7 linked regions of the Macaca fascicularis genome follow. The protein of the gene in region 1 interacts with the protein of each later gene in a pairwise test. Links are inferred from orthologs where the notes say so. Each region holds a gene or a part of one and is shown in the gene's direction. Other genes may lie near its edges.

What was found.
Region 2: the proteins of CCND3 (region 1) and TFIP11 interact in binary tests that used the Homo sapiens proteins (3 or more experiments, as listed by UniProt). The two-hybrid records come from large-scale screens. The link is inferred for Macaca fascicularis from reciprocal best matches to the Homo sapiens genes CCND3 and TFIP11.
Region 3: the proteins of CCND3 (region 1) and EIF3K interact in a two-hybrid assay, tested with the Homo sapiens proteins (2 studies listed by BioGRID and IntAct). The link is inferred for Macaca fascicularis from reciprocal best matches to the Homo sapiens genes CCND3 and EIF3K.
Region 4: the proteins of CCND3 (region 1) and RBL2 interact in a two-hybrid assay, tested with the Homo sapiens proteins (2 studies listed by BioGRID). The link is inferred for Macaca fascicularis from reciprocal best matches to the Homo sapiens genes CCND3 and RBL2.
Region 5: the proteins of CCND3 (region 1) and ATF5 interact in a two-hybrid assay, tested with the Homo sapiens proteins (2 studies listed by BioGRID and IntAct). The link is inferred for Macaca fascicularis from reciprocal best matches to the Homo sapiens genes CCND3 and ATF5.
Region 6: the proteins of CCND3 (region 1) and CRABP2 interact in binary tests that used the Homo sapiens proteins (3 or more experiments, as listed by UniProt). The link is inferred for Macaca fascicularis from reciprocal best matches to the Homo sapiens genes CCND3 and CRABP2.
Region 7: the proteins of CCND3 (region 1) and VDR interact in a two-hybrid assay, tested with the Homo sapiens proteins (2 studies listed by BioGRID and IntAct). The link is inferred for Macaca fascicularis from reciprocal best matches to the Homo sapiens genes CCND3 and VDR.

What each region holds. Positions count from the first base shown.
Region 1 is NC_088378.1:129,633,430-129,635,589, forward strand, and holds the end of CCND3 (G1/S-specific cyclin-D3), read left to right. Parts: coding exon 1-66; intron 67-515; coding exon 516-683; coding exon of another isoform or gene 684-889; 3' UTR 890-1,660; downstream 1,661-2,160. UniProt on the Homo sapiens protein: Regulatory component of the cyclin D3-CDK4 (DC) complex that phosphorylates and inhibits members of the retinoblastoma (RB) protein family including RB1 and regulates the cell-cycle during G(1)/S transition.
Region 2 is NC_088384.1:25,186,325-25,189,824, forward strand, and holds part of TFIP11 (tuftelin-interacting protein 11), read left to right. Parts: intron 1-1,547; coding exon 1,548-1,716; intron 1,717-2,126; coding exon 2,127-2,370; intron 2,371-3,314; coding exon 3,315-3,457; intron 3,458-3,500. UniProt on the Homo sapiens protein: Involved in pre-mRNA splicing, specifically in spliceosome disassembly during late-stage splicing events. Intron turnover seems to proceed through reactions in two lariat-intron associated complexes termed Intron Large (IL) and Intron Small (IS).
Region 3 is NC_088393.1:45,685,410-45,689,571, forward strand, and holds the start of EIF3K (eukaryotic translation initiation factor 3 subunit K), read left to right. Parts: upstream 1-1,362; 5' UTR 1,363-1,441; coding exon 1,442-1,500; intron 1,501-2,511; coding exon 2,512-2,610; intron 2,611-4,162. Other genes in the region: MAP4K1 (mitogen-activated protein kinase kinase kinase kinase 1), read right to left, coding at 1-56. UniProt on the Homo sapiens protein: Component of the eukaryotic translation initiation factor 3 (eIF-3) complex, which is required for several steps in the initiation of protein synthesis.
Region 4 is NC_088394.1:49,468,637-49,472,136, forward strand, and holds part of RBL2 (retinoblastoma-like protein 2), read left to right. Parts: intron 1-755; coding exon 756-827; intron 828-1,485; coding exon 1,486-1,591; intron 1,592-2,158; coding exon 2,159-2,367; intron 2,368-3,233; coding exon 3,234-3,398; intron 3,399-3,500. UniProt on the Homo sapiens protein: Key regulator of entry into cell division. Directly involved in heterochromatin formation by maintaining overall chromatin structure and, in particular, that of constitutive heterochromatin by stabilizing histone methylation.
Region 5 is NC_088393.1:57,911,892-57,915,864, forward strand, and holds the start of ATF5 (cyclic AMP-dependent transcription factor ATF-5), read left to right. Parts: upstream 1-1,173; 5' UTR 1,174-1,370; exon of another isoform or gene 1,371-1,504; intron 1,505-1,790; exon of another isoform or gene 1,791-2,402; intron 2,403-2,698; 5' UTR 2,699-2,838; coding exon 2,839-3,016; intron 3,017-3,973.
Region 6 is NC_088375.1:104,370,189-104,374,253, forward strand, and holds the start of CRABP2 (cellular retinoic acid-binding protein 2), read left to right. Parts: upstream 1-1,265; 5' UTR 1,266-1,402; coding exon 1,403-1,472; intron 1,473-2,097; exon of another isoform or gene 2,098-2,853; intron 2,854-4,065. UniProt on the Homo sapiens protein: Transports retinoic acid to the nucleus. Regulates the access of retinoic acid to the nuclear retinoic acid receptors.
Region 7 is NC_088385.1:54,587,022-54,589,628, reverse strand, and holds part of VDR (vitamin D3 receptor), read left to right. Parts: intron 1-1,191; coding exon 1,192-1,451; 3' UTR 1,452-2,607.

The sequences.
Region 1 (2,160 bases):
GGTGCCTGCTCCATGTCCGGGGATGAGCTTACAGAGCTGCTGGCAGGGATCACTGGCACTGAAGTGGTGAGTGCTGGGCAGCTGGGCAGCAGCCTCTCCATTCATATAGTGCTATGCCCTGAGCCTCCAGTAGAGGGAAACCTCCAACCCCAACCTGGTCCTGAGTCCTGGTTTCACAACCTTGGGGCTTTGTGGCTTTTTATCTCCTGCCTTGGTCTGGAGAAGAGCAAGTATCTTGGGTGGGGTGAAGGGCACTGGCCCTAGGGGCTCTTTTCTTGCCAAGTGGTGTGCTGGAGTGGGGGTGGGGGATTCGGTGTCAGATGCAGGGCTGCTCTCACACTCCCTTGCCACATCCTCTTGCTAGTTTCTGAGAACTGAAGAGCGATTCCTGGGGCTGGGCTGTGGCCTAACCTCCCCAGACTTCCCCATGTGTTGGGAGCTGTCCTTCCCCTGCACCTGCTGCCAGATGCTATGGGGGGGAGTGTTCAGTCCTCACTGTTCTCCCATGTTCCCAGGACTGCCTGCGGGCCTGTCAGGAGCAGATCGAAGCTGCACTCAGGGAGAGCCTCAGGGAAGCCGCCCAGACCAGCTCCAGCCCAGCGCCCAAAGCCCCCCGGGGCTCCAGCAGCCAAGGGCCCAGCCAGACCAGCACTCCTACAGATGTCACAGCCATACACCTGTAGCCCTGGAGAGGCCCTCTGGAGTGGCCACTAAGCAGAGGAGGGGCCGCTGCCACCCACCTCCCTGCCTCCAGGAACAAACCACACCACATCTGAAGCCTGAAGGGGCGTCTGTTCCCCCTTCACAAAGCCCAAGGGGTCTGGTCCTACCCATCCCCGCAGTGTGCACTAAGGGGCCTGGCCAGCCACGTCTGCATTTCGGTGGGTAGTCAAGCTCCTCCTCCCTGCATCTGACCAGCAGCGCCTTTCCCAACTCTAGCTGGGGGTGGGGCAGGCTGATGGGACAGAATTGGATACATAACGCCAGCATTCCTTTTGAGCGCCCCCCACCCCTGGGGGCTGTTTTCAACTGCCAAAATGCTCTAGTGCCTTCTAAAGGTGTTGCCCCTTCTAGGGTTATTGCATTTGGATTGGGGTCCCTCTGAAATTTCATGCATGATAGACACATATGAGGGGGAATAGTCTAGATGACTCCTCAGTACTTTGGAGGCCCCTATATAATCCGTGCTGACAGCTGCTCCTAGAGGGAGGGGCCTAGGCCTCAGCCAGAGAAGCTATAAATTCCTCTTTGCTTTGTTTTCTGCTCAGCTTCTGTGTGATTGACAGCTTTGCTGCTGAAGGCTCATTTTAATTTATTAATTGCTTTGAGCACAACTGTAAGAGGACATAACGGGGTCCTGGCCATCCCACAAGTGGTGGTAACCCTGGTGGTTGCTATTTTCCTCCCTTCTGCTACTGGCAAAAGGATCATTGTGGCCGAGGAGCTGCTACAGCCTGGGGTGGGGTCATGCCCTCCTCTCCTGTTGTCCCTCTGCCCCATCCTCCAGCAGAGAAAATGCAACAGGGATGCCCTGGAGGTGGCTGAGCCCCTGTCTAGAGAGGGAGGAAGCCCTGTTGACACAGGTCTTTCCTAAGGCCACAAGGTTTAGGCTGGTGGCCCAGGACCATCATCCTACTGTAATAAAGATTGTGAAATAAAACTGGCTTTGGCTTCTTGGATTGGTGTGTGGGTTAAGTCTATTTCTGGACTGTATGAGGTAAGGAGGCGGAAGCCAGTGGTCTAAAGCAGGGATCATTGAGCCTTTTCTGTAAAGGGCTGGATAGTTAGGCTTTGCGGGCTATATGGTCTCTGACCCAAATATAATCAGTTCTCTTTATAATGTGACCTATGTGTTCCTGAAAATCACTATGCCATGCAATTTGCACAATAAAAACCACAGGTCTCATGGGAAAAATGGGGCTTGAAGCACAACACTCAAATGAGTGACACATGTTAAAAAAAGGATAGCTTGGTTTTTACATGTCAAATGGTTGAGAAATACATAAATATTACAATAAATACGGCCTTTTATCTTGAAGACATGCACTTTGCTTTTGGAAGTGGATGTTGGAAGGGTTGCTCAACACAGGTGGGCAGCTAAGTGAGGTAGCTGGTACATGTTCAAGTGTGAGTTTTGTGTACTAGTTAGGCTTGGTTCAG
Region 2 (3,500 bases), on another chromosome or scaffold:
CCCGAGTAGCTGGGATCACAGGCACGCACCACCACACCCAGCTAATGTTTGTATTTTTAGTAGAGACAGGGTTTCACCATGTTGGCCAGGATGATCTCCATCCCCTGATCTCGTGATCCACCCGCCTTGGCCTCCCAAAGTGCTGGGATTACAGGCGTGAGCCACCGTGCCTGGCTTAATTTGTAGTCTTTTATCCCGCACCCCGTTCACCCTTTCCCCAAGTCCCCAAAGTCCATTGTGTCATTCTTACGCCTTTGCATCCTCATAGCTTAGCTTCCGCTTATGAGTGAAAACACAAGATGTTTGGTTTTCCATTCTTGAGTTACTTCACTTAGAATAGTAGTCTCCAATTCCAACCAGGTTGCTGCGAATGCCATTAATTCATTCCTTTTTATGGCTGAGTCATATTCCATTATATATATATGTACCAGTTTCTTTATCTACTTGTTGATTGGTGGGCATTTGGGTTGGTTCCACATTTTTGCAGTTGTGAATTGTGCTACTGTAAACTTGTGTGAGCAAATATCTTTTTCATAAAATGACTTCTTTTGTGTTTTTTTTTTTGAGATGAAGTCTCGCTTTGTCGCCAGGCTGGAGTACAGTGGCGTGATCTTGGCTCACTGCAACCTCTGCCTCCGGGGTTCAAGCAATTCTCCTGCCTCAGCCTCCCAAGTAGCTGGGACTACGGGCATGCACCACCACGCCCAGCTAACTTTTGTATTTTTAGTAGACACAGGGTTTCACCATGATGGCCAGGATAGTCTCAATCTCTTGACCTCATGATCCGCCTGCCTTGGCCTCCCAAAGTGCTGGGTTTACAGGCGTGAGCCACCGCACCCAGCCATGACTTCTTTTCTTCTGGGTAGATACCCAGTAGTGGGATTGCTGGATCAAATGGTGGTTGTACTTTTAGTTTTCTAAGGAATCTCCACACTGTTTTCCATAGTGGTTGTACAATTACATTTGGCCATGAATTCAGCTGACACTTGTCAAATGTCTGTTGAATATCATGCTTGTGCTAGGTGCTGGGCTTACCCTAGTACAGCAGACAGCCTCTGTCTTTAGTACAGCAGAAAAGGCAGATGGGAAATAAGGTAGTGAACAAATAAAGGCAGGATGCACACCAGGTACAGCGATAGAAAACTGCAGGAGCGACCTCCTTGGAATGGGGGTTAGGACAGAGGTCTTAGAGGAGGTGACATTGAAACTGTGATCAGAGGGTGAGAGATGTCAGCTCATGAATAGAAGCCTATAGGTGGGAAAGCACTTGATACCTAGGAAGAGACCCTTGTGACCCTAAAGCAGCTCTGCCAGGTGGGCGGGCACTGCCTACGAGACCAAGGCCTCAGTTCGAGAGGAGAGTCACGAGAACAAGGAAGAAGCAGGCTCAGGTCTGGCCAGCATGGTGACTGGCCTGATGGTTTCCTCTGATCGGATTTCCATGCTGTTGCATTTTTATTTCTGATTCTAGAGAGGTGGGCGGTGGTGGTGTTCTTTGAAACCAATCAGTGTAATTAACCAGCCTGTCCTCTGCCTTTCTCCCATAGGTTGATATGGGAAGTCTGGATGCCTTTTGTTCGAAATATTGTCACTCAGTGGCAGCCAAGGAACTGTGACCCGATGGTGGACTTTTTGGATAGTTGGGTGCACATCATTCCTGTGTGGATCTTAGATAACATACTGGACCAACTCATCTTCCCCAAGCTGCAAAAGGAGGTGGGGTGAGAGTCACAGGAACAACTGTCATCACTAACTACAGGGACTTGTTCAGTCTATGTCTTCATTATCTCAGTGCTGTTAAAATGCCTGGAATTAACAGAATTTGTCAACACAACTGTTGACCTAGAGTGTTAATTCCAGCCTTTTTCTCAGCACTTTTCCCCCCAAGCCACCCTCAGGAGGGAATTCATTTTCTTGATTTCTTCACTAAAATTAGAATTATGCTATTTCTGAGAGGTAATCAAATGAATGGGCATATTTGTTTGGCGATGTACAAAGGACCATGGGCCTTGGAGAGCATGGGGCCTCCTCCAGGGGCAGCTCTTGCCTTTAACCACACGGGTGTTATGTGACTGCCCAATAGGCGACATGAACTGTTTCTTCTGTTTCTTCTCCCCACATTGCAGGTGGAAAACTGGAACCCGCTCACAGACACTGTTCCCATCCACTCTTGGATCCACCCATGGTTGCCCCTTATGCAGGCACGGCTGGAGCCGCTCTATTCCCCCATCCGTAGCAAGCTGTCCAGTGCCCTGCAGAAGTGGCACCCCAGTGACTCCTCTGCCAAGCTTATCCTCCAGCCCTGGAAGGATGTCTTCACTCCTGGCTCCTGGGAAGCATTCATGGTCAAAAACATAGTGCCCAAGCTGGGTAAGGATATGGGGAAAATGCAGTCCAAGCCCAGCAGCTTTGGTGCCCTGGTTTCTTGGTCAGTGGTGATTTAAAGCATAGCCTTTGTATTCATGAAAGTGCTTAGTACACAATATTCCTTGCTGTTCAGAGGCTGAACATAAATGTAACTTGGGTCCTTTCCGCTGTTTGTTTACAACAGCGACTAATAGTTGACAGTAACAACATCGGACTCTGTGCCTTGTGGTTTTCCTGATTGGCTTTGGCTTCTGGTAACAGGACAGCCATTGGAGTTCTGAAATTTTTGTGGTATTTTATTCTAAATTATTAGGGAGTTATTTCTGGTTTAGCAAAAAAAAAAAACATATATATATATATATATATATTTTTTTTTAAGAATTGCTATGTCAGGAGCTTAAATTTGACCTTTAAAGCAGATTAAAGCCTGAGCAACATGGTTAAACCCCATCTCTACCAAAAATACAAAAACTAGCCAGGTGTGGTGGCATGTGCCTGTGGTCCCAGCTACTAGGGAGGATGGCTTGAACCTGGGAGGCAGAGGTTGCAGTGAGCTGAGATCTGCCATTGCACTCCAGCCTGGGCAACGGTGAGACCCTGTCTCAAAAAAAAAAAAAAAAAAAAACCGCCAGGAGCCGTGACTCATGCCTGTAATCCCAGCACTTTGGGAGGCTGAGGTGGCAGATCACCTGAGATCAGGAGTTTGAGACCAGCCTGGGCAACATGGCAAAACCCTGTCTCTAATAAAAACACAAAAATTAGCCGGCCGCGGTGGTGCACACCTGTACTCCCAGCTACTTAGGAGGCTGAGGCACAAGAGTCACTTGAACCCAGGAGGTGGAGGTTGTTGTGACCTGAGAGGAAAACGGACATTATCTTTGCTCTTTGTGCTTCTGTGGCTTTGCCAGTACTAAAGCTGTGCCTTATAGACCGGGTTTCTCTTCCAGGGATGTGTCTTGGTGAGCTAGTCATTAACCCCCACCAGCAGCACATGGATGCATTCTATTGGGTGATCGACTGGGAAGGGATGATCTCTGTCTCTAGTCTGGTGGGACTTCTTGAAAAGCACTTCTTCCCCAAGTGGCTTCAGGTACACTGTTTTGCTTGGCTTTCTGGGGGAGGGAACTGGGTGG
Region 3 (4,162 bases), on another chromosome or scaffold:
AGGTCGTAGTGGTCCCGGGGGTCTCTATTGAAAATGTCCGGATCCACGAGGTCCATCCCTGGGGGCCGGAGCTGGGCCTGCGCCCAGGGGCCAGCAGGGCCTCAGGGCTCAAGTTCTGGCACCTCCCTCTGTCCCCAGAAGCCCTGCACCCGCCTTGCCTCCGCGGGCTGTGGCCTCCCTCCTCCCCACTCTCGCTTCCTGCCCCAGCTGCACTGCAGGGCTGTGCAAAGGGCTCCACCCCCTGTCCCCTGGGCGCTGAGAGCCTCTGAGGGGCAGCTTGTCTTGGGACCCAAGGGACCATCCTCAACCTCCAAGGCCCAGGGCTGGATGTAAATGTGATGCAAATTATCTTAATGGTAACTGGATTGGAGGGGGGTGCCTTAGAACCCCCGCCCCCGTCTCCTAGGTAGTGTCTAAACCTCTACTGGGTGCTTGAAGGTTTGGCCACAACCCGAAGGCGGCAAGTCTGCACAAGGATGACTACGCAGTGTACATGCCTGTTCACCTGTCACATACATGCACTTGGGTTACCTCCTCTGCACTGCGCGGGCATGTAGACGTGTAGATGTGCATCTACCTAGATACCTGTGTGCACAGTACACACGTGGAGGTACCCAGCGCATATACCTCCACATACATGGCACATAACTGCATTTTCTACGCTTGCAGTGTACAAAACCTATACATGATATATAATTGATGGCAGTACAGATGGGACCCTCGCCCTCAGCTCCAAGACCGGAACCTAATGGAGACCGGGCGCGATCCGGCGAAGTCCAGGAGCCCTCACCCCAGCCCCTGCCCGGCAGAGCACAATAGCTTTGTGGGACCCTCTTCCTGGAGCTGGGGATCAAGGGCCGAGACTTGAAACTGGATCCTGGGCGCTCAGGATCCTGCACCATGCGCCCAGGCCTGAGGCGAGAGGGACCTCAGAGAACATCTCCCTCGGGACTTGGCCAATGCCTAAACGGAGGGCTGCTGCGTGCATTCCCGCACAGCTCCGGGGACTTAGGGCCACGCGCAATACAACGCGCGCGCACGCCGCCAGAGCTCCGACTGCTTCCCAATGAGTTCGCGCGCGCACGCTCCCGCGCCCCCGGCACTGGAACTGGGTCTGTGAGGCCCGGGAAAAGCTTAGCCCCGCCCCTCGCCGAGAGGCGCCTGCGCACTGGGATACAGTAAGCTTTTTCTCACGCTGTCCGTCCAGCTTGAGTGGAGCGAATGCGCACGCGCTAATTGCCCCTGCGAGGAAGAAGTCACGTGGCCGCCGGAAAGCGTGGCGGCTGCTGCGAGAGCCTGTCCCTTCACCGCCCCCAGGGAGCTGGAGCGACAACAATGACGTCGTTTCCGTTTCCACCACCTCTTCCTTTTCCCGTCCTCGCGGACGCCGTGCCGGGCCGGTGTTAGTCTCCAGCCCTGGTTGTGGAAAGCGACAGAAGTCATGGCGATGTTTGAACAGATGAGAGCTAACGTGGGCAAGTTGCTCAAGGGTATCGACAGGTCTGAGCCCGGTCGGAGGGAGCGCTCTGGCCATGCGGGGCGGAGGGGAGGGTTTTCAGGAGGCAGCAGGGGGTGGTCAGGGTCCTGGGCTTGCCGCGGGGTGGGGTTTCTCTATCCTCCTGGAGGAGGAGATGCTTAAAGAAACGCCACTGAGCTGGGGGCGGTGACTCACGCCTGTGATCTCAGCACTTTGGGAGGCCGAGGCAGGCGGGTCGCCTGAGCCCAGGAGTTAGAGACCAGCCTGGGCAACAGTCATACCCCGTCTTTAAAAGAAAGAAAGAAAGAAACAGCCCTGCAAAGGCCTAGAAGCGAAAGAATCTTGGTACCGCTCAGTCTCTTCGTGAATTGCCTTAAGATTTCCTTCTCTGCCCTGCCTCCTTTGAGTGCCTCTGAATCTCTCCCTTCTCTGCTCCTTACGTCATTCATTCACATGTTTATTGAAATAAAGTGTCAGTGCTAGGCAATGCTGGGAACCACAGGCGAATCAGACAGCGGCAGATCATGCCTTCACGGTCTGAGTTCCCATTCCATGAGGGAGACAAACCTGACATCAGACAGTGATATCTGGGAGAGGTTAGAACCGAAATGGGGGAAGCAAAGGCTAGAGTGTTCAGACGGACATGGGGGAAGTAGGCATCCAGGTAGGCAGGAGAGGATGGGGCTGGATCAGGGTGGAGGCCTGAGCAGGGGAGGAAGGGGTGAGTAACAGAGATGTTCAGGAGGCCAGATGCACAAGCCGCAGTGACTGACTGGCTCAGAGGTTGGGGAGGTATCCTAGGCAAGACCCAGGGCTCCAATGGAGTATAGAGCTTAGGTGAGAGGTCTGGGATATGAATAAGTTTTATTAGAGATTATACTGGACATAATTCACTACCTGGATAGAGCAAGTGGCCAGTGCCAGATTTAGAGGGGAAGGGTGGGAGGAGCAGGTTACAGTTGCCCCTGCAACTGTAAAGTGACTGGCCTCAGCTTCTGTCTCCTGTCTGCTCACCTATCTTGATTCTCCTTTAGGTACAATCCTGAGAACCTGGCCACCCTGGAGCGCTATGTGGAGACGCAGGCCAAGGAAAATGCCTATGATCTGGAAGCCAACCTGGCTGTCCTGAAGCTGTAAGTGTCTGGCTGTCTGTCTACACTCCCATTTCAGCAGCTAGCAGGGTGCCACTCCCAGTACAGGGCAAGGGGGTGGCCGGTGGTATCCTGCATGATGCAGCATCTCTTGGTGTGCAAGACTAGGAAGCCAAGGAAGTTGGGACAGGAGGAGGGATGGTTTTTGAAAAATCAGTTGCCGAGCGCAGTCACTCACACCTGTAATCCCAGCACTTTGGGAGGATGAGGTGAGTGGATCACCTGAGGCAGGGAGTTTGAGACCAGCCTGGCCAACATAGAGAAACCCCAACTCTGCTGAAAAATACAAAATTAGCCGGGCGTGATGGCACATGCGTGTAATCCCAGCTACTTGGGGGGCTGAGGCAGGAGAATCGCTTGAACCTGGGATGCAGAGATTGCGGTGAGCCAGGGTCGCACCATTGCACTCCAGCCTGGGCAACAAGAGCAAAACTCCATCTCAAAAAAAAATTAATAATAAAAAATCAATTAGGGTGGCTGCAGGGGCTCATGCCGCTAATCCCAGCACTTTGGGAGGCTGAGGCGAGATACTCACTTGAACCAAAGAGTTCGAGACCAGCCATGGCAACATAGCAAGACCCAACTCTATAAAAAAATTTAAAAATTGGCCGGGCATGGTGGCTTACACCTGTACTTTGGGAGGCTGAGGTAAATGAATCACGAGGCCAGGAGATCAAGACCATCCTGGCTAACACGGTGAAACCCCATCTCTATGAAAAAAAAAATACAAAAGATTAGCCGGGTGTGGTGGCGGGGCGCCTGTAGTCCCAGCTACTTGGGATGCTGAGGCGGGAGAATGGCATGAACCCAGAAGGGTTGCAGTGAGCCTAGATCACACCCCTGCATTCCAGCCTGAGCTACACAGCAAGACCCGTCTCAAAAAAAAACCATTGTTTTAGTTAATGTAGTGGTGTGTGGCTGTAGTTCCAGCTACTTGAGAGGCTGAAGTGGGAGGATTGCTTAAGCCTGGGGGATCGAGGGTGCAGTGAGCCATGATCGTGCCACTGCACTCCAGCCTGGGGGACAGAGTGAGACCCTTCGTTTTCTCAAAAAAAAAATAAATAAATAAAATAAATAAGAATTACCGATCTGGCCGGGCGCAGTGGCTCAAGCCTGTAATCCCAGCACTTTGGGAGGCCGAGACGGGCAGATCACGAGGTCGGGAGATCGAGACCATCCTGGCTAACACGGTGAAACCCCGTCTCTACTAAAAAAATACAAAAAACTAGCCAGGCGAGGTGGCGGGCGCCTGTAGTCCCAGCTACTCGGGAGGCTGAGGCAGGAGAATGGCGTGAACCCGGGAGGCGGAGCTTGCAGTGAGCTGAGATCCGGCCACTGCACTCCAGCCTGGGCGACAGAGCGAGACTCTGTCTCAAAAAAAAAAAAAAAAAAAAAAGACCGATCTGGGTGACATGGCACAGCCCTGTCTCTACAAAAAATCAGCTGGGCACAGTGGCACACAGCTGTAGTCCCAGCTACTCGGGAGGTTGAGGCAGGAGAATTGCTTGAACCTGGGAGGCAGAGGTTGCAGTGA
Region 4 (3,500 bases), on another chromosome or scaffold:
TCAGTATTTCTTTGAACATTTTTTTCTGCTTCTTTCTCTCCTCTCCTGATTCTCCCATTACACTTATGTTGATTTCCTTAATGCTGTGCCACATTTCTCTGAGGCTGTTTATTTTTCTTCATTCTTTCTCTGTTCTCAGATCACATCATCTCTTCATGTTTGCTAATCTTTTTGGTTTTTTTGCTACTTCAAATCTATTTTCCCTAGCTTCTAGTGAATTTTTCATTTCAGTTACTGTAATTTTCTACTCCAAGTCTTTTTTTTTGAGATGAGTCTTGCTCTGTTGCCCAGACTGTACAGTGGCTCAATCTCAGCTCACTGCAACCTCCGTCTCTCGGGTTCAAGTGATTCTCCTGTCTCAGCCTCCCTAGTAGCTGGGATTACAGGCACATGCCACCATGCCTGGCTAATTTTTGAATTTTTAGTAGATACTGGGTTTCACCATGATGGCCAGGCTGAACTCCTGACTTCAAGTGAGCCACCCTCCTCGGCCTCCCAAAGTGCTGGAATTACAGGTGTGAACCACCGCACTGGCCTCTAAGTCTTGATTCACATATTATTCTTAATGAATTTTAATAGATATTCTTGAATCGATGTATCTTCATTTGCTATATGCCTTTAATACCATTTCCAGAGACTTTAAATAGCTTTTATATAATTTTCACCCCTTTTACTGGGCAGCAGGTTCACACAGCTCCTCACACTATTATGGTGGAAGTTGTTGTATCTCTCAGAGCACTCTTATTGTTTGCCAGGTCACAAAAGAAGATAAGTCCTTCCAGAATATTATGCGTTGTTATAGGACTCAGCCACAGGCCCGGAGCCAGGTAACTACATTTTCTCTATGGGCTGAAAATAACGCTTAAAGTCTGTGATGAATACAAGAAATTAACCATAGTTGACTCTGTGGCCTTTTTTTCCAAGATAAACACCTGGGACTCTACTTAAGGGAAATTTCTGCTTTAATCTTCTTTATTCTTGATGTCACATGTTGATTAAGTTCTCTTTTCCTCAGAAGGCAACAATGTTAAATATTTGATTGCCTTCTCAATTCAGAAAAATCACAAGATAGATAGGAATTAAGAAGTTACTTGGTTTCTATGTCACCATTCTGGTTTAGTAAACATACTGTACGTTTAACCAAGAGAATGTCACATGGAAATTTAAAACCCACTTTGCCTTTATTACGATTCGTCTCTGAGAGGCAAATTGGCAGATCTGTGTATCTGACTTAGAATGACTTGACTTTATGGTTGGGTGCTGTTACCGCAGCGTGGTACTGCAAGTAGTACTTGGCATGTGAAGCTAGATGGGCTCTGATTGAATCTTAGATCTGTTATAATTTGAGTTATGTTTCTTAGCCTCTTCTGAGGACAACTATTGCTACACAGATTATTGTGAAAAGTAACATATGTCAAGGTCCTATCACCAAGGGTGTGCTCAACAAATACTAGTTTACATCCCCTTCTCATTATTTCTCTAAAGGTGTATAGAAGTGTTTTGATAAAAGGGAAAAGAAAAAGACGAAATTCCGGCAGCAGTGATAGCAGAAGCCATCAGAATTCTCCAACAGAACTAAACAAAGATAGAAGTAAGTGGGATCTTTGTGAACTACAAGACAAAATTAGGAGCTTTTCTTACTTTTTAGGACTTGAAGTAACCATTACTAAATGAAATAACTATAGAAACTATGAAAGTGTATAAACAAAGGGTTTAATGGATCAGTAAATCAAATTCTGGGTGGCAAAACTGTCCATTCCATAGCTTTGGGGCACATATTCTATAACATTTTTCTCCAGGAGAATTAGAGCTTTCAGTGAGGAATCTGCTTGCCTGAGTTTCAGAAAGGACTGACATGTCAGTTGGAGCCATGCTATGGAAATACCATCCCCTACCTGTTGGTTTGTCCTAGGGCTTAGGTCCTAGAAAACTTGGTGTAGCTTATTAATACTACTCAGAAAGCCCTTGCTATGGTTATGGCATAGGGATATCAAGTTAAAATCCTAGCTGAGCTTTGCCTTTTGGTGTGAAGAACAGAGTGCCTATTCACTGTTATTAGCAAGTAATGCAGGTAGCTGTTCCCTTTCTCCTACTTTTTAAAAATTAAAACAATCTATACTAGCAGCTTTTGTATTGACACCCTGTGTTCTCCTGGAAGCAGCCAGTAGAGACTCCAGTCCAGTCATGAGGTCAAGCAGCACCTTGCCAGTTCCACAGCCCAGCAGTGCTCCTCCTACACCTACTCGCCTCACAGGTGCCAACAGTGACATGGAAGAAGAAGAGAGGGGAGACCTCATTCAGTTCTACAACAACATCTACATCAAACAGATTAAGACATTTGCCATGAAGTACTCCCAGGCAAATGTAGTAAGTATTACAGGGATCATTTCATGCTTTTTTCATGAGTATTGAGGAATTATTTATGATTTATATATGGACCATTCACCTGGTCCATATATAAACTAGTTTTGGCCAAGCGTGGTGGCTAACACCTGTAATCCCAGCACTTTGGGAGGCTGAAGCGGGCAGATCAGTTGAGGTCAGAAGTTCGAGACCAGCCTGGCCAACGTGGTAAATAAAACCCAGTCTCTACTAAAAATACAAAAATGAGCCAGGCGTGGTAGAACACATGTGTAATCCCAGCTACTCTGGGGGCTAAGGCAGGAGAATTGTTTGAACATGGGAGGTAGAGGTTGCAGTGAGCTGAGATTGCGCCACTGCACTCCAGCCTGGGCGACAGAACGAGACTCTGTCTCATAAATAAGCTAGTTTTACAAATAATTCTATTAAGTAAAACTGAGGAGGTCTGTAATTTACCTAACCAACATAAGTTCTGTTGTTAAGCATTAAACAAGAATAAGATTGTATTTGGAGTCCCTACAAAGTATAGTAGTACAAGAGACAGGCTACATGGGTTCAAATTGTCTAGTACTTAACAGTAGTGGTAACCTTGCAAATCATTAAATTTTCTCTGTACCTTGTTTCCTCATATATATAAAACATGGGAATATAACTAGTTCTTAGCATATGGAGTTGTAAGGATGAAATGACATAATGTATAAAAATTGCTTAAAATAATAACTGGCACAAACTAAGCACTTAAGGTTTGCTATTAGAATGTTTTTCTTTAGGTTAAATTAGTGCTAATATATCACTCTTATCATTCTCAGTAAAAATACCTCATTATAAATTTCTTTTCTTAGAGTTACTGATTTTTTTTTTTTTTTTAACAGATGGATGCTCCTCCACTCTCTCCCTATCCATTTGTAAGAACAGGCTCCCCTCGCCGAATACAGTTGTCTCAAAATCATCCTGTCTACATTTCCCCACATAAAAATGAAACAATGCTTTCTCCTCGAGAAAAGATTTTCTATTACTTCAGCAACAGTCCTTCAAAGGTGAGCCTAACATCAATCTTGGCCTTTACTAACCCCAAAATGCTTCAGATGCTAGAAAGAGGGTTTGTGCTAAGCCTAGGCACTCATTAGAGTGATGAGAGC
Region 5 (3,973 bases), on another chromosome or scaffold:
AAAGGAAGCCAAGGGCAAGGGATGGAGAAAAGGACGCAGCTGGGGCCTCGATGTCTGAATCCCTGCCAGGGGATGGGGCCTGGGCACCCATCATTTGGAACGGAAGATGAGGATGGCCGGAAACAGACACTTCAGAGGAATGAGGGAGACAGAAGAACGACAGCAAGAGTTAGACAGTCCAACGTCTGCGGCTCTTGTAAGGGGGAAAGAAGAAGTGAGGCTGGGCCCCAATAAAATATGTTGAGGCCGGGCGCGGTGGCTCACGCCTGTAAGCCCAGCACTTTGGGAGGCCGAGGCGGGCCGATCATGAAGTCAGGAGATCGAGACCATCCTGGCTAACAAGGTGAAACCTCGTCTCTACTAAAAATACAAAAAATTAGCCGGGCGTGGTGGCGGGCGCCTGTAATCCTAGCTACTCTGGAGGCTGAGGCAGGAGAATGGCGTGAACTCGGCGGAGTTTGCAGTGAGCCGAGATCGCGCCACTGCACTCCAGCCTGGGCGACAGAGACCGAGAGACGTCATCTCACCAAAAAAAAAAAAAAAATTGAACAGGAACGTATGAGTTGAACTCTGTGCATAAGGCTTGCCAGACACCGTCTTGAGTTTCATAAACCCACCAGGAGAGCTGATTTTTCTTATTTTACTTATAGGGAAATGAAGCAAGAGAACTTAAGCTATTTGCCCGAGGCCATCCTGGTAGGTCTGTGTTTGGGAGAGTGCTGTGACTCACGCTGGACTCTAACCCACGAGGGTTTCTCGGGGTCAGCAGTTGGGGGATGAAAACATGAAAAGTGTGGCTGACAGGAAATTCTGCAAGCAGGGAAAGGGAAACAGAAATTAAATGGTGCAGGTCTCCGGGAAGAGAATGAGACTGGATCCACCAAATCACAGGAGGAAGCAGGCCCAGACCTCACAGGCAGAAAAAGAAAGAAACCAGAGTTTAGGAGGAAACCAGACCCCGGAGCTACGAGAGGGCCGGATCCCTGGCTCAAAAGGGAGGAGGGGCCTGGACCCTAGGAGTGGGAAGGAAGAGGTCGGATCCCCTGATCCCCAGGAGGAGGGGACCGGGCTGCCACCCAGTTGGGGCCCCGCGAGGGCGGGGCGCGGAAGGATCCGGGCGGGCCATGCTGCGCCACCCGAAGTATATCTGTCCCCAGTCCCCGGGGCCGCCTCATTCCCCGTCCTCAGATCACGGTCTCTTCTAACTACAGCGTTCTCCGCCTCCGCCTGCGTAGCCCCGGCCATGGCTCTGTAGCCTCGACCCCTTTGTGCCCCCAGCCCGACTCCGCGCTTACCACGCCTGCGCTCTCCGCTCCCACCTTCTTTCTTCAGCCGAGGCCGCCGCCGCCTCTCCTTGCTGCAGCCATGGAGTGAGTAACCGCTTACTTCTCCCTCTCCAACCGCCTTTCCCGCCCTTTCGCAGCTCGTGGCCCTCTTTAGGGAGCCCTGGGGGGAGGGGAGCTGCGAGCGGGGAATCACGGTCGCGCAGGCGCAGAAGAGGTACGGTGGGCCGAAGGCGCGCGGCTGCGCATGCGCACTGGGCCCGGAGCCGGGTGGGAGAGTTCTAGAGACTCGATGTTTGTCAGCCGGCGTGTGGCTGCGCCTGCGCACTCCAAGGGAGGGTGTGGTCTTTTTCTAAACGATTCTGTGCGTGCTTGGTTGTTCCTGCGCAGTAGCCTACCAGTGCCCCGTAATTAATGAGCGCGGGCCCTGAGTGTCCGCGCATGCGCACTGATCCCCAAGAAGGCGGAGGTGTAAAGCAATTGGACAGCTCGGAAGACGTAGCATGCGCTTTGGCCCTTGGCGCATAGCCGCGTGTGGACGGCTGGCGTTCGGGTAGCAGTTCTCTGCCTGCCCCCTCTACCCTCCTCCACCCTCCCTGCTCCACGTTGCTCTGGCTCACAGCCCAACTTCCTTCCTTTTAAACCAGGCACCTGCTGAGGCGGGGACTGGCTTAGATTGACAGGGGAGAAGGCGGGGCTTAGAGGCAGCCCTCTAAGTGGGTGGGGCTAGAACCACTGTCGTCACGATGGGTGGGATTTCGTGAGCCCATTGTGAGAAGGGGCGGGGCTAAGCCAACCTTTAGCTGAGGGGTGGGGCTTCGATGGGACAAAGAGGCGGGGCCTCTGGGGAATCGGAGAGGGGCGGAGCTAAATAAACAATGAGGGGCGGGGCTTGGAGGGGCAGTGGCAAAGCGAGGAGTGGGATTTGAGTGGATAACATTGCTGAAGGGCTGGGGCCTGGGGCAGTTCCCCTGGGCACTGGTTTGGGATGGAAGCTAGGAAGGCAGTGGGGCCAAAAGGAAATATTTTAGGGCAAGGGGCGTGGCTGGAAGAAAATGTCCCTGGAATTGAGTTTTTCCATGATGCGGAATATTCTGAGGTGGATGGGAAGGGCCTAAGGTAATTCCCCTGGGAGACCCTTAGGTTTCCGTATTGGGGGAAAGGGTGGGGCATCGGTCCTACCTTAGGACCTAAAGAAATTCCCTTGGGAGTGGGTGGGGCTCAGATTTGGGTAAAGAAAGGGCAAATTTAGAATTCGGAGAGGCTGAGGCTTAGTTATAAACTGTGGTTGGAAGGGGGAGGGAGGAGCCCCGTGGACGTGCCTGGGGGTGTGGCTTGGCTTCCCCATGATTTTGGCCGGTGGATGAGGCTTTCCTGACCCCACGACCCCACCCACTCTTGTCTCACACGTGTAGGTCTTCCACTTTCGCCTTGGTGCCTGTCTTCATCCAGCTGAGCATCCTCCAGAGCCTCGTCCCAGCTGCTGGTGCAGCGGCTCCTGTTGCCATCAGTGCCCTGCACCTGTGCTACAGCGCCCTGCACCTGTGCTACAGCCATGTCACTCCTGGCCACCCTGGGGCTGGAGCTGGACAGGACCCTGCTCCCAGCTAGCGGGCTGGGATGGCTCGTAGACTATGGGAAACTCCCCCCTGCCCCTGCCCCCGTGGCTCCTTATGAGGTCCTTGGGGGAGCCCTGGAGGGCGGGCTTCCAGTGGGGGGAGAGCCCCTGGCAGGTAAGGGCAGGTGGAAGGTGGAGCAGGGGAGTGGAGGGCAGGGGAAGATGGGGGAGGAAAAACTCATCCATGTATTCATTGAATGTTGAGTGCCTACAATGTGCCAGGCACTGTTTTAGGTGCTGAGGATACAGCTGGAAACAAGAAGAACATGGTCTGTGCCCTCCAGCAGCTCATACTGTGGAGAGTAGACCAGAGGCAAATTAAATGAGAGTGTATTGGAATAAGTCAGAAACACTTAGCAGCTGAGCTACAAAATGACAAAGGGGACCTAATTCAGAGTGGGTAGCCAGAAAACTTTCTCTAAGTAGGTAACATGTTGACGGAGGCATAAAGGATGGGAAGGAAGCCAGGCATGGTGGCCTGTAATCCCAGCACTGTGGGAGGCTGAGGAGGGAGAATTGCTTTAGTCCAGGAGTTCAGGACCTGGGCAACATAGCAAGGCCTCATATCTATAGGGAAAAAAAAAAAAAAAATTAGCCAGGCATGGTGGCGCATGCCTGTACTCCCAGCTACTTAGGAGTCTGAGGTGGGAGGATCGCTTGAGCCTGGGAGGCCTAGGCTGCAGTGAGCCAAGATGATGCCACTGCACTGCAGCCTGGGCAACAGAGTGAAATCTTATCCCTTACAAAAAAAAAAAAAAAAAAAAAGGAAAGGAATGAGCCAGGAAAACACCCAAGGGAAGAGCATTTTAGTTGGAGGGAACTGCATACGCAGAAGCCCTCAGGAGGCAGGAATCATTGTATTCATTACTGTATCCCAAATGCTTGGCACATCGTGGGTTTTCAGTAATTAATGAGTAAAGATGAAACAAGGTGTATCTGTGTGTAATGTGATCTAGTTTGCCTTTTAAGAACAGAGTAAATACAGACACCACAGATACAGAGTACTCAGTAAAGGAGATGTTGGAATGGTTGAAGAAATGCTTAATTGACTGTTGGTTGAGTCACTGGTTGG
Region 6 (4,065 bases), on another chromosome or scaffold:
CCACCGGTCCGAAGGGCCCCCCGCGTTGGACACGCCGGGACGGTTCCTTTGGCTCCAATCACTGCATCCCGCCAGGCTCCGCTCCTCTGCGGTTTCCGGCCTCAGGTCCCAGGCCTGTCTCCGAGGCTCCCTGCCTGACCTCAGTTTCTGTTTCTCCGTCTCCCTGCCATCTCCACTGGGGTCTCGCCCACTCCCACTCGGGTCTCTGCAGGAAGCCTTGCCCTCCTCCCACCCTCTTTGATCTCCCGTTTCAAAGCCGCTCGCCAAGGGAGGGGAGGTAGCTCCTTCCGCCCGTTTTACAGCTCAGGATGGTGACACCTGAGACCCTGCTCCGCCTTCTCCCCGGGCACCCATCCTCCCTTCTATCTTGGTGGCGGCGCAGCTCGCCAGGGCTCCGCGCTTCTGTCCCCGCCTCCCTCCCTTCCGCCTACGGAGACCCCCTCGGGGTCTGGGGAGTGAAGCGACAGAGAAAGCGCTTTAATAAAGACCTCGCGTCAAGTGATTGGCTGTGACCTCTGCCCTCCCAGCCTCGCGCCCTGGGCTCCTGCTTAACCCTTCAGTGTCCGCCCAGCCCATTAAGGGGAGCGAGTCGCCTGGCGACTACTTCCAGAGTCCCCAGGCACTACGTGAGCCCGAAGCAGGATAGAGGGGTGGGGGGACCGTGCCACCCCCGCCCAGCCTCTCCGAGTTGTTCCAGCAGGGGGCGCCGTTGCCTCACTTAGATCCCTAATCCCGCAGAACCCCGGAGCTCCCCCGCCCCTCTCTGAGTTCGAAGTGGTCCCACTGGATCTAGTTCAGGCTTCAGTGGAGCCAGGGCTCAGTTGCCCATTTCCCCCGGTCAGCTACGGCTCAAGATCTGGGATCCGCCCGCGGGTGGGGTCGCCAGGTGTCCAGCGCCAAGGAGTTGAATGCACCGAGTCAGGTTGGGGATGGGTGGCGAACAGGCGAGACGTGAGGAACTCTGGTGGGGGACAGCCATACACGAGCCCTGAGCATCTGCGCCCGCAGCTGGCTCCCCGCGCCTAGGCGGACAGCGCAATTCAAGTGCAGGCTTTGCATCCGCTTCCCCATCCACTCCCTAGAGCAGGAGAAGGCTATCTCGGTCCCCAGAGAAGCCTGGACCCACACACCGGCTAGATCCAGAGGTTGGTGGCAGGGCCCCCCCAAGTGGGGGAGGGGGCGGAGCGGAAGGCGGGGCCACTTCAATCCTGGGCAGGGGAGGTTCCGCACAGGGTATAAAAGCTGTCCGCGCGGGAGCCCAGGCCAGCTTTGGGGTTGTCCCTGGTCGTATCTTGGTTCCTGAACCTCACGACTCGGCGACGGCGACGTCTCTTTTGACTAAAAGACAGTGTCCAGTGCTCCAGCCTAGGGGTCTAAGGGGACCACCACCCGCGCCGCCACCATGCCCAACTTCTCTGGCAATTGGAAAATCATCCGATCGGAAAACTTCGAGGATTTGCTCAAAGTGCTGGGTAAGGAAATGTTCGAGGGCCCAGGTGGGGCAAGGGGGGCTCTGGAGTCCTCGAAGGTGGGGATGAAAAAGAAAGCGGGACCACAGGGCGTGAGACACTGGGCGCCTGCATCACTGAAAAACGTGCCAGGCGTCCGGGTCCCGTGGCGCTGGGCACGACGCCTAAATCCCGCTTTCTCCTGCGGGGGCCCACCGGTGCCAGCACTGCGGTGACTCACAGCCTGTGAATCACGTAGAAACCAGAAGCGCGAGGTTGGCCTCTGGGGGAAGGGGAGGCTGGCCTCAGCGGCCGGACTCGGTGAGCCGAGGGACCTGGCTGTCCGCAGTTCAGAAGCTGCAGGCTGGTGGAGCCACGAACCCTGCATCCAGACTGGGAGCCCGGTTCTCTAACCTGCCCAGCCGCTCGGACACATTCCAATCTCCTTCCCGGTGCCCCCCTCGGTAACCCAATCCCCGGAGCAGGCTCATTACCCCTAGGCGCCCAGCTCTGCCTACCAGGTGATCTGCCGCCCCAGCGCCCCCTGAGCTCCCCTTTCCTTCCCGTGTGCACTTTCCACTCTACTCTCCCTACCCCCCATCTGTGAGACAAGTATTTTACTGCAACGAGCAGCTCCAGAGTTCTAAAATCGCTAGGGATAATTATCACTTTCTTGGATTTCAACAAATGGTTTCGTGTGAAACCCCAATCCCACATTTCCAAAAATCTAGGTTCCCACCTCCCTCCACACACCATAGATCAGCTGCAGCCCAACTGGGTGTGTTGGTCAAAGGTGGGGAAAACAAAGTCAATCCAGACTGCCCTTCCCACTTTCCCAGCCCACTTTCTGTGTGCTCTCTGGGCCAACTGGGCTAGACATCTGGGGCTCTGGGGGAGAGATGGACGATAGTTAAGGACCCCAGTCACTGGGAGCGTAAGGACAGGCCTGCTGCCTTCAATTCCTGCACTGAACAGAGAGAGGGTAGTTGGGCTGGGCTGGGCAAGGGGGTAGGGAGGGAGGGCACCCTGGACTATAGGAGTGAGACTGGATCTAAGAAGGGTCTGGAATGTTGCAGAGAGAGCAGGAATCTCCATCATTCCTTGCTGTTGGTTCTTCCTGCGATCTAACCACAATACTTCTTGGAGTCATATCAGTCTTTCTCGCTCTGTCCTTGCTGAACTTAAAGACGAAAAGATAGAAGTTTTCTCTTTGGAAAGCCTACATGCCACTCCCTCCTCATCTTCTCTGGATTCTGGCTCCTGTCCCCAGTGGATGAGGTGGTGGCCTGGCGCACCCCCAGGTCCCAGCTGAAGAGTAAGATTCAAGGCCCCAATCCTGCTGTCTGTCTTCAGTCTGTTTGTCCTCTCTGCAGGGTCTCTCTGAGCCACGTGCCCTCCTCAGGCCCTGCAGGGGGGAGATTAAAAACAGATCCATTAGACAAACACAGTCCTGAGCCAGTCAAGGCCGGCTGAGCTGGGCCCCCAGCTCCACAGGCACCAGGGGCTTGCTGAAGGGATGTCTCCTCTGAACTCAGCCTTACTTCTGCAGGAACTTCGGTCCTGGCACAGCCCTCTTAGCTCTAGTCAAGGGTCCATCTCAATAAGACTTGGGGACCTCAGTCATTTCTCCCTAGACCCAAGAGTTCAGCAGCCAACCATGGGGTCCTGGGCTCCCCAGGGACAAGACTTCCTCTCTCCCTCTCTCTTCTGTTTGGAGTAGGGTAGCTATGCTTTGGCGCTGAGGGGAAAGAGGATTTGTTTCTCTAGGAACCCAGGTCTGGAGGAGGGCCAGGGAGTTGGCCGGATCAGGGGCAGGGAAATCCTGCTGCCTGGCGGAGGGCCCTTTCACCCCCACCTAGTGCATCCCTGGCTGTACTCCAGGACAGGGCGGCAGATCAGGCCAGGTGAGGTGGGTGTGTGGAGCTTAGACCTGGAGCCCATCCAGAGAGGCCCCCTGCTCTGCACATCTTCCTTTCAGAGGGGTGCTGTCTCCTATCTCCCCCACTTTGGTTAATAACTGGGGAGCAGAGAGAAGGGGTCCAATCTGGGCTGGGATATGGAGGTGCACAGAGAGTCTGAATTCACAGAGGCTGAATGAGATAGCCAGACCCTGTGAGGGGAGTGGGGGGTCCTGAAGTAGGGGACACATCACACAGAGCGGGGAGGGCAGGCTCCTTTTCTACCCCTTCTTCTCACGGCAGAGGGGGTTCCCTTGAGGGGACAGGGATATGGGAGTCTTCCAGAAGGGCAGATGAGCACGGTGCCTAATGAAGGGAGCTTTGTCTGAACCCCAGCTTTTTGTTTTCCTTTTTTTTTTTTTTTTTTTTTTAGTGGTGGGATCTCACTATGTTGCTCAGTCTGGTCTCAAACTTCTAGGCTTAAGCAATCCTCCTGCCTTGGCCTCCCAAAGTGCTGGGATTACAGGCATGAGCCATGGCACCTGACCCTTTGCCTTCCTTTTATCAGTAAAAATAATACCAACAATAATAGCTACTGTTTCCTGAAAACTTAAGCATATGCCTGGCACTGTGTGTGCTGAGTCCTAAACACATACCATTCCGATTGGCTTTTTTTTTTTTTTTTTTTTGAGACAGAGTTTTGCTCTTTTTGCCCAGGC
Region 7 (2,607 bases), on another chromosome or scaffold:
AGCCCCAGTGGTGTGTGGATGCTGAGGTGCCCCTCACCGCCCTTGGCTCTGCCTTACAGAGTTTGCAGGCGATTCGTAGGGGGTATTCTGAGAAACTAGATAAGCAGGGTTCCTCGAGCCACAGACGGCCCTGCGCGTTCCCAATACTCAGGCTCCGCTCTTGTGTGAACTGGGCTCAACATTCCTGTTATTTGAGGTTTCTCGTGGGCAGGGTACAAAACCCTGGAGCCTGAGAGATAGTTCTGCCTATACAGTTTACCTGATTGATTTTGGAGGCAGTGTGCTGTGACCCTTGACCTCTTCTGCTGGTTAGAGGTGAGAAGAGGGGGAAAAGGCAGAAGAGGAAGTTATTGTAACCTTGGGGACATGATGTTGGTGATGAGGTCCAAAGAGGGATGGCCCTGCCTCAGCCAGTGCTGTGTTCAGGGGACAAGCTAGTGGCCTCTGCCCAGGGATGCTTTCCTGGACTGGAGGCTCAAGGAATGGAGGTGGGCTCCCCTACACCTGCCCAGCCAGCCTTCACTCATTCATTCATCCACTTAGCAACAATTTACTGAGCACCTATTGGGTGCCAGGCACTATGCTAGGTACTGGGGTTCAACAGCAAACAGGACACAGGCTCCTTTCCCATGAAGCTTAGATGGAAACATTAAACAAATGCTATTTAACAACTAATTCCTAACATGGCAAGAGTTTTAAAAATAAAGTAAGTGACACTAGAGAATGGTAGAAGGAGGTAGGCTGACATGGTCTGGGTCACGGAGGTAGAGTGTTGCCAGGAGTCTTTTGGAGGAAGACCTTTTAAGCTGTTACCCAAAGGATCAGTAAGAGTCTGGCAAAGATAGCAGAACAGAGTTCCAAGCAGTGGGAACACAGATGTGAAGGCTGGTGACCAGAGAGCACGGCGCATCAGAACGCTGAGGGATGGACGGAGCATGGACAGAGAGCAAGGCCAGGCAGAGACAGGCCCAGGTGGGCCCATGGAAGGACCTGGGACTGGATCCTAAATACAAGGAGAAGTCACTGGAGGGCTTTGGGGCCATGCAGTGGTATCACCAGTCAGCAGTCATAGAGGGGTGGCCTAGGGGGTGCTGCCATTGAGTGTCTGTGTGGGTGGGAGGTGGGGGGATTGAGCAGTGAGGGGCCCAGCTCAGAGCTCCTGTGCCTTCTCCTCTACCACCCTGTCCACAGATCGTCCCGGGGTGCAGGACGCCGCGCTGATCGAGGCCATCCAGGACCGCCTGTCCAACACTTTGCAGACCTACATCCGTTGCCGCCACCCGCCCCCGGGCAGCCACCTGCTCTATGCCAAGATGATCCAGAAGCTGGCCGACTTGCGCAGCCTCAATGAGGAGCACTCCAAGCAGTACCGCTGCCTCTCCTTCCAGCCTGAATGCAGCATGAAGCTCACGCCCCTCGTGCTCGAAGTGTTTGGCAATGAGATCTCCTGACTAGGACAGCCCAAGGCGGTGCCTGGGTGGGGCTGCTCCTCCAGGGCCACGTGCCGGGCCCGGGGCTGGCAGCTACTCAGCAGCCCTCCTCACCCTGTCTGGGGTTCAGCCTCTCCTCTGCCACCTCCCCTGTCCACCCAGCCCATTCTCTCTCCTGTTCAACCTAACCCCTCTCCTGCAGGCCTTTCCCCGGTCCCTTGAGACCTCAGCCATGAGGAGTTGCTGTTTGTTTGACAAAGAAACTCAAGTGGGGGCAGAGGGCAGAGGCTGGAGGCAGGGCCTTGCCCAGAGACGCCCCCACTACTGCATAAGTGGCTGCTGACTGGTGTTGAGGGAACAGGCAGGGGAAATGCATCCATTCCTCAGGGACAGAGACACCTGCACTTCCCCCTACTGCAGGCCCCCCATGTCCCGAGCCTAGTGGGGTCTCCCTCTCCTGCTTACTCATGATAATCGGCCCACAGCTCCCAACCCACCCGCTTCAGTGCCCACCGACATTCCATTGCCCTGGTTATATTCTCACGGGCAGTAGCTGTGGTGAGGTGGGTTTTCTTCCCATCACTGGAGCACCAGGCACGAACCCACCTGCTGAGAGACCCAAGGAGGAAAACAGACAAAAACAGCCTCACAGAAGAATAGTGGATGGTGGCCATAGCTATCCCTGTCACCAAGCCCACAGTTTCTCACCCTGGATCTAAGGGGTTGGTTGAGGTGGAAGCCCTCCTTTCACGGATCCATGTAGCAGGACTGAATTGTCCCCAATTTGCAGAATAGCACCTGCCGTCCTCGTCCTCCCCCTGCCAGTGCCTTACCACCTGCCCAGGAGAGCCAGCCCTCCCTGTCCTCCTCGGATCACCGAGGGTAACCCAGAGCCTGCTCCCCCCACCCCCTCCCCACTTCCAGTCTGAAGCAGCAGTGAGCCGCGTCTTCTCCACCTGGCAGGGTGGGATGGAGGAGAAGAACTTTCAGACCCCAGCGGCTGCGTCATGATCTCCCTGCCGCCTCGGTGTGGTTCCAAGGTCGCTGTTCACCCACGGGGCTAAGAGCTAGCGCTCCCGCACCCCAGGGTGTGGGAAGGGAGAGCGGGGCAGCCTCGGGTGGCTAGTCAGAGAGAGCGTTTGGGGGTTCCATGATGTAGAGTAGCGTCCCTTCTATT